2 linked regions of the Callithrix jacchus genome follow. The protein of the gene in region 1 purifies or fractionates together with the protein of each later gene. This does not show direct contact. Links are inferred from orthologs where the notes say so. Each region holds a gene or a part of one and is shown on either strand. Other genes may lie near its edges. The genes, in order: CDK5RAP2 and PCNT.

Region 1 (3,801 bases):
CCCATTTTATCCCAGTGACGTTTAATCTGCAGCCTTGATGTTGACAAATTTATCTGCCCAAAGTGTGTAAGACAATTGGAATGCCAAAATCATAAATGCCACATCGAATCTCATTCTTTTTTGTATTCTTGAAGTGCTGTATTTATATAATAAGGTTGGAAAAAACAAATGGTGGCCCTTCTCAGTGGCGCCTTTTTGTGTTTGCAGATAAACAGAAGGAGAATGACAAATTACGAGAGTCCCTCTCCAGGAAGACCGCGAGCCTGGAGCACCTTCAGCAGGAGTATGCCAGTGTGAAGGAAGAAAATGAAAGGCTGCAGAAGGAAGGCAGCGAGAAAGAGAGACACAGCCAGGAGCTGATCCAGGAGGCCCGCCACAGCCGCCAGGAGCTGAGCAGGTAGTGGCTGTGCTTCCCTGGTGCCCTGCTGGCTGAATCACGCATCCGCGCACTGGGCTGCAGTTGTGGAATCAGGCATGCAGGCCTCTGCACTAGTGCACAGTGGCAGGCAGTAGACAGAAACATATTTCACATCTGGTGGGCCTACCACATGTGGAGAACAATCCCGTAAGGAGGAGAGGGCTTGGCAGTGGGTTGCTGTTTTTTGTCGAGGGCGAGTCAGGTAAGGCCTTTCTGAAAAGATGCTGTTTGCACAGAGAGCTGTGAATGTAGTGAGGAGGTGAGTGCTGCAGCTACCTGGGGAAGATCATTTTAGGCAGAATGGGCGCAGGCCCTGAGGCAGCGTGGCTTAGACCTGTGCCCGACAGAGCAGGGCAGTGCGTCCCGAGAGGCAAGAAGCTGGGGGACGAGATACCGAATCACATCGGGCCACAGAGCCAGTGTGAGGACGTCAGGTTTTACTCTGAGTGGCATGAGAAGCGTGGGAGATTCTGAGCAGAGAGTAACGTGGATCTGCTGTTGTTTTTAAAAGGATCGCACCAGTTGTCCTTTTGCCATTTCCCTATTTGAGTCTGTCCGTTTCCAAATTTGAGTTGTTCCTGTTGGCACGTGTGAATGCCCCACTCTTGAAGAGTTACTGTCATCACCCAGGGTGGTGCACTGAGGTAGCAAGATCATTGTCTCTGCCACCAGATAGTCCTGGGCCTAAGTCCAGCTCCCCTCCTGAGCTGTGCACCCCTGGGTAGGAGACAGCCTTTTTGAGTTTCATTTCCTCATATCTCTGAACTGAGGATCAGAGGGCACCGACCTTTTAGGGTGTCTCTGAAGATTACATGAGATCACATAGGTAAGGGGCTGGACGCAGGGGCCAATTAGAAACTGTGGCTGTCACTGGAATTCTTAACCATGCTTGTCACTTCTTGGTCCACATTCTTGTGACTGAGGGTGGAATTGGCCTACCCTGTGGGATTTGAATAAGTGATCCTAAGGTAGAATTAACTTCTCCGTCTCATCCCTGTGGGGCCTTCTCAGGGTGCAGGAGGAGGTGAAGTTGAGGCAGCAGCTGCTCTCACAGAATGACAAGCTATTGCAGTCCCTCCGAGTGGAGCTGAAGGCATATGAGAAGCTGGATGAAGAGCACCGGAGACCGAGAGGTAATGGGGGCTCTGGTCCGAGGCCCTTCTCATCTTGAGGCTACTGTGGCTTGGGCTGTAAGCCCACCCAGCAGCTGGTTGTAGGCACAGGTGGGCAGAGCTCAGCACTCTCCATTCTGACCTTGTGGGTAGAGTAGATGGGTGCTAAAGCTGGCGCTTTGGCCCACTCTTCTTCTGAAGGAACAGCAGGAAACATGGAAGGACTGAGGCTTAGCAACCAGGCCAGCTGAGGTCCGGGTTCCCACTCCCTTGTTCTGGGCTGTGTGACCCTCAGCAGGCCACTTCACCCTTTGAGCCCATACCTGCCTCTATAAAACATGTTTCTCAGCACCTGCTGTGTGGAGAGTTACGTTAAAAATTGAATGAGACCATTTATTAAAAGCATCCTAGCATGGTACCTGACATAGTAGGCACTCAGGAAATGACTTTTATTACAGTCATCTTGCTATGTGTTACTTTTTGCCCTTTTATTCAGCAAACATTTATGGTCACCTCTCATGTGCTGGGCATTGCTCTGGGGATGCTTGTTGGCTTCAGTGCTCTCTATATCCTGAGAGAGATACCAGATCAGAGTACCTCAACTATAAAGTCTAATGTTTCAGAATCAATTTTGAGGTGTGGTGAGGTTTTTTTTTTTTTTTTTTTAAAAACTAATTTTCCAGATGGTTTCTCTCTATTGAAAGTTTATCTAGAAAAGGGTCATCTCACAGCTTTTATTTTTCTCCTCAACTTGCTTTTCTTATTCTTGCCATTGTGTCTTTTTAATATACTGTGGCTCTTAAAATCATCCCCTTTTATTCTATAATTCTAGCCCAAATAGATTTTATTACTACTAGACATAATTTCGGGGTTTGGTGTGCAATTTGCTAGGCTTTTATGGCCAGAAGTGAAAATTAATTTCCAGCTCTTATTTAGCCTGTGGAATAGCAGCAATTAAGTCTGCCAATATTTTTGTTTCTAAAGTCAAGTTGTTATTTTAAATTGTACCTAGTTCTTAGGAAGGGGGAGGGTGAGGGTGGTGGCGGGTGTAAAACACGATTGAGTTCCTTCGATGGCTGACCCTGTGGTTGTGGAAGATGTCAGGGCTTCCCTTTGCACATGTCCACAGAGTCGTCGGGAGAAGGCTGGAAGGGGCAGGATCCTTTCACAGACCTGCACAGCCTCCTGATGGAGATCCAGGCTCTGCGGTTGCAACTGGAAAGGAGCATCCAAACCAACAGCACACTGCAGAGCAGGCTCGAGGAACAGCTGGCGAGGGGGGCGGAGAAGGCACAGGAAGGAGCCCTCACTCTGGCTGCCCAAGCCCTGTCCATCCCTGAGCTGCCCCTTCAGCCCAACAAACACGGTACTGCACCTGCCTCTCCCCACTTCCTAAGCATGCAGTTCTGAGCGTCTGTGTGTGACATGTGAACTTCTGAATGATGCCTTTGCCCCACAGAGGTGTCTTTCCATTGATAGCTGACACACTGTAGCCTAGGAGCCAGGGGACCTGACTGCTAATTAATTAGCAGTCACCTTTGGCAAAGTGGTGTGGTCTGTCTGAGGCATCTTCATTCTCAGGGAAGTGGAGTTTGGACTTCCAGACAGCCTCAGTGCCTCTGGTGTTGCTCCCTCCTAGTTAGTCCTGCTCATGTCACTCTGATGCTGAAATTTCTTTTAGTTTTCTGACTGCCTTTAAAAGGGAGCCTAAACATCTTAATCTGGCTTTCAGTGTCTTTCAGGATCTGAAAAGCATCCTGATAGGTTTAAAAAGTAGATCTATTTTGCATTTGCTTGTGGGTTAATTGCCTAGCCCTGGAGAGGCTGTAGTGGGTACCAGAAAGAGGGCCAGACACCTCTGCCACCCACCCACCACAGCGTGTGGAGCAAACCAGTAAATGGCAGGCGCAGAGCAGTCAGGCAGCCTATCCTCTGCTCTAGAGATGAAAAACGAAGGCCCAGAGAGCGGATGGTGCTTACCGAAAGTGGCACAGCAAGTAGGTGGCAGAGCTGACGCTAGAAACCATTTCTAGCTTTGAGTCCAGGGCTGTTCCTGAACCCCACCAGACCCTCTAGAGTCTTGGGTATCCTGGGATTGTCGTCCTGACACCAATAGCATCAATGTGTGTATCCCGTGGAATGAGGAATGCCAACATGCTTATAAGCAAGTATTGTATTAAAATTTGGACTGACTTTTACTTGGATACCTCTAGTTAAAAAAGTAAAAATAAATCTTAAGGAGCACCTAGTCAGTCTGCCTTAGAACTTGTA
Region 2 (4,291 bases), on another chromosome or scaffold:
CCCAGCTGGCTCAAGCCATCCAGGTCCGAGTCAGGGAACCGCGACCCTGCAGGCACAGCCCCTGCCCTCTCGGCTGCGCTGCCTGCCTGGCTCCCGCTTCCGTGCCCAGCTGGCTCAAGCCATCCAGGTCCGAGTCAGGGAACCGCGACCCTGCAGGCACAGCCCCTGCCCTCTCGGCTGCGCTGCCTGCCTGGCTCCGGCTTCCGTGCCCAGCTGGCTCAAGCCATCCAGGTCCGAGTCAGGGAACCGCGACCCTGCAGGCACAGCCCCTGCCCTCTCGGCTGCGCTGCCTGCCTGGCTCCCGCTTCCGTGCCCAGCTGGCTCAAGCCATCCAGTTCCGAGTGTGGGAACCGCGACCCTGCAGGCACAGCCCCTGCCCTCTCGGCTGCGCTGCCTGCCTGGCTCCCGCTTCCGTGCCCAGCTGGCTCAAGCCATCCAGTTCCGAGTGTGGGAACCGGGAGGCTGCTGGACGCCTTGCTCACCACGCAGAAGGCGGTGGCCCGAGGCAGGAGGGGGGAGTTTCCAGGGCTTCCCGAAGGGCATTTAAGTCGCAGTTGCTGAGAATCACCAGTCGCTGCGGAGGCTGCACGCTGCGCTCGGGTCCAGCACGCTCGGGGAAGGGCCGTGGCCGCCCGCAGCGCGAGCACGCGGACCCCACCGCCTAGGGTTTGCAAGGGAGGCGCGACTAGAGAGAAACCCAGAAACCAGCCTTGGACACAGGGAAGAAGGCGATTCGCTTTAGAACACGGCACAGGAAACCACAGGGCCCGGCGAGGTCACCCACCCCGTCATGGTTCTCCGCCACTCCGCTCCAGTTAGTTTCCCCGAGTCCCGTCCACGCGCGCGGGCTGCTGAGAAAACGCCCACCCCGGCGTCTCCGCCGCAGGTCACAGGCCGTGCGGACCCTGGACTGTGTCCGGGCTTCGGTCACCTCAGCAGTCTCCTCCGGAGTCGGCTCGACTCCCGCGGCGGCCCACAGCCAACAACGAACTCCTTAGCTGAGGAAAATGGCCTGGCCCTATCCCAGTGGCTGCTGCCCGCGGTCCGGCCCGCGGGCCACCGAGTGTCCCCGTCCACGCGAGACCAGCAACGCAAATAGCGGCTCGGCCGGCTTTTAAAATCGGCCAATCACAGCGGGCACCAGGCCTCTGCGCTCCGCTTACTGGCCCTGCCGAAGGAGGCGGGTCCTGAGCGCACCAATCTGTGGCCGACGAGCGAGTAGGGCGGAGCTCCGCCCAGGCAGCACTGCCCTGAGGGCGCGTGCGCGAGACTCGGAACGCGGCCCCCTGATTGGCGGCGCGCGGTGGGGGCGGGGCCACGGCTGCGTGACACTTGTCGCGGGGGAGGGCGCGCCCCGGTGCGGGGGAGGGAGTGTAAATAGAGCGAAGGCGGCTCGGTGTCAGCCCCGCCACCACCAGGCGGCCCGCGTGGAGTCTGAGGGAGATGGAAGCTCAGCAAGAGCAGCGGCGCAGAAAGGTGGAGGCCGGGAGGGCGAAGGTAAACATCAGGGGCTTCTTCTCTTGCTGCTCCGGCGTGAAGTCCTAAGGGCGGCTCCGATGTCCACCACCGCCCCTTGTCACGAGCGGACGCGGCCCGGCGGAATCTGCCGTCGAGGTCTCGCTTTTCCCGCCGGCTCCGCTGGAAGCCGCCTCCTGGCCGCCGCCATCTTGAATCCGCCGCTCTCCGCTAGGGCCCGCCCCCTCCGCGGCCACAGCCAATCAGCGGCTGGAACGCGCGGCGCCTCTCGGGCAGGCCGGGGCGGGGCTGAGCCTGCGTCGGCGACAGGCCGGGCGCGGAGTACGCCGGGAGGGGCGGGGGTGTGTGGCTACCAGGAGGAGGTGTGGCGGGTGCTGGGCCGCAGGCTGGATCCTCTAGTGACCCCTGCGCCCTTCGGTCCCGGATGGCTTGGGGTGGGCGGCCGGTATTCTGGGGGCTGTGCTGTCTCGGGCCAGTTTCCTCCGCGGCCGGGGACGCGGCGCGGGTAGTCTCAGCGCCTCCTTACGGCGCGCTTCCGCTCCGTCCGTCGGAGACGCTTTCCCATGCGCGTTTCCCGCGGCGTCGCAGTTCCTCCTGTGTGAAAGGTCCCCGCGGCGCTCCTGGCGCCGTTGGGCGCGCGTCCTGCCCGTCCGGGTGCTGCCGGGAAGCCAGCGGTGCTGGCGCCGGGCTTCTCCGAGGGACGCGTTCCCGTCTTTATCCCGCCTCGGGTTTCACCCTGTTAAAGCGCTCGGTTTAATGGCCACCGTCCTGGGTTTCTTGTGGGGAATAAAGCGCGCAGAGCCCTTGATTCGGGGGCACTGGAACTGGGGTCCCGAGAGCGCGAGGCGGAACCTCGGGAGCTGCCGGGACGAGGCTGGCCTCCCTGCGAGGTGCGCCCGGCTTCCCCGGATGCTCGGGCCAGGGTGCTGCGGAGGAGCAGGGCTCCCGGCGTTTGAGGCGGGCAGGAGGGAAAGGGGAGCCCGGAGCCTCCTGGGGAGCGTTGAGGGTGGGGAGGGAGGGAAAAAACGCCGCCTGTAGGGCGACCCCGGCTGCAGACCAGGTCTGTGCTATCCCCTCATGGTTAGGTGTGGTGGAGGAGGGCATGAAAATAAACGAGATGGGATTGGGTTGGAATAAAGTATTTCCTTGAGAGACCATTTTTTGTCCAAATTGCCTTGTGTAATCTTCCTGGGTCCAGGAGCTTGTGTACTTGTGTTACTTACACAAACGTTTGTTCCGTTTATTACACAAACGTGGCCACAGTTATCATTTGAGGGAACAGATGCCTCTCCGTGAAAGGCTGACGTGGGACCCCCTCCCTCTTGAGTAAGACGTTAGTGGGAGATGAGGCGCGCACATAGTCTTAAACCCTCGGCTTTGAGGACTGAGCAGAGCTAGACTGTGCCTTCTGATGGGCGATGCTCTGGAGGTCCCTGGTGCTTTGGTGAGCTGTGCCATGAAAAATAGAACATCTGATTCCGTAAAGGAAGATGTGAGATTGACCTGGCTTAATTAATTTTTTGCTATTTCTGTACCTTGTCTCAGAATCTATGGCTAGGAAGTTTTGGCTGGGCTATATATTTCTTCAGTTGGGGGGAAATTGGGGCAAGAAGGGAGAGATTTAGGTTTTATTATTTTAAAACTTAAATATGCCTCGATTAAGCTATCAGTTTTTTATGTAGACGTATTTTTTTAAAGTTCAATTTTTCTGTAAACTGTCAAGGGCTAGGAAAGCTGTTCGGCAATTAGCCGTATAGTTTTCTTTCCTCTGTCAGGCGTAATTAGCAGTCCTCTTGGATATAGATCTTGCCGAAGGCAGTGTTTGTGGAGAGCGATCTGTTGGCCAGCTGTGGCACAGTAGACTGGGTCAGCCCTCGGGCTCATGGTCCCCACCAGTCTGTTGACTTTGTGGTTCTGTTATTTTTTTCTCATTTACCTCTGCCTTTACTATTTATCTACCTTTTTGCGCAGCTTGCTCACTTCCGACAGAGAAAAACCAAAGGCGACGGTGCGCATTCGGAGAAAAAGACGGCGAAGAGGAAGGGCTCGGCTGTCGCTGCGCCTGTCCAGGAGGAGAGTCCGGTAGCCAAGGACCACAGCGAAGCCCGTGGAGGAGGGGACATTTACAAAAGCCCATCATGTGACCACACCCCTGATGGGGCAGGAGGGGCCTTTGCAGCTCAGGTAGATTTGCGCAGTGTTGTCTTTAAACATTTTGCTTAGTGATTTCTAGTGTGGTTTACTAAAGGTGGTCTTTGGTCTATTTTTCCCTTTCAAATGTGAGGAAAGAGTGTGTTGTTTTAGTTATAAAAAGTGAGGGCTGGGTGTGGTGGCTCACGGGCGGATCACCTGAGGTCAGGCGTTGGAGACCAGCCTGGCCACGTGGAGAAACCCCGTCTCTACTCAAAATACAAAAATTAGCTGTACGTGATGGTGCACGCCTGTAATCCCAGCTACTCGGGAGGCTGAGGCAGGAGAATTGCTTGAACTCAGAAGGGGGAGGTTGCAGTGAGCCGAGATCATGCCAGTGCATTCCAGCCTGGGTGACAGAGTGAAACTCTGTCTCAAAATAAATAAATAAATAATTTTTTATATTTTTACTCTTTTTGAGACAGTCTTACTCTGTCACCAGGCGCCAGGCTTGAGTACAGTGGCGTGATCTCAGCTCACTGCAACCTCCACTTACTGGGTTCAAGCAATTCTACTGCCTCAGCCTCCTGAATAGCTGGGACTACAGGCACAAGCCACCACGCCCAGATAATTTTTGTATTTTTTAGTAGAAGAGGGGGTTTCACCATGTTGGCCAGGATGCTTT

Evidence for each region.
Region 2: the proteins of CDK5RAP2 (region 1) and PCNT purify together in Homo sapiens (co-immunoprecipitation; 4 studies listed by BioGRID and IntAct, with this or other methods). This does not show direct contact. The link is inferred for Callithrix jacchus from reciprocal best matches to the Homo sapiens genes CDK5RAP2 and PCNT.

What each region holds. Positions count from the first base shown.
Region 1 is NC_133502.1:168,799,813-168,803,613, reverse strand, and holds part of CDK5RAP2 (CDK5 regulatory subunit-associated protein 2), read left to right. Parts: intron 1-207; coding exon 208-397; intron 398-1,429; coding exon 1,430-1,551; intron 1,552-2,659; coding exon 2,660-2,896; intron 2,897-3,801. UniProt on the Homo sapiens protein: Potential regulator of CDK5 activity via its interaction with CDK5R1. Negative regulator of centriole disengagement (licensing) which maintains centriole engagement and cohesion. Involved in regulation of mitotic spindle orientation.
Region 2 is NC_133522.1:51,907,618-51,911,908, forward strand, and holds the start of PCNT (pericentrin), read left to right. Parts: upstream 1-1,356; 5' UTR 1,357-1,443; coding exon 1,444-1,497; intron 1,498-1,806; exon of another isoform or gene 1,807-2,366; intron 2,367-3,447; coding exon 3,448-3,660; intron 3,661-4,291. UniProt on the Homo sapiens protein: Integral component of the filamentous matrix of the centrosome involved in the initial establishment of organized microtubule arrays in both mitosis and meiosis. Plays a role, together with DISC1, in the microtubule network formation.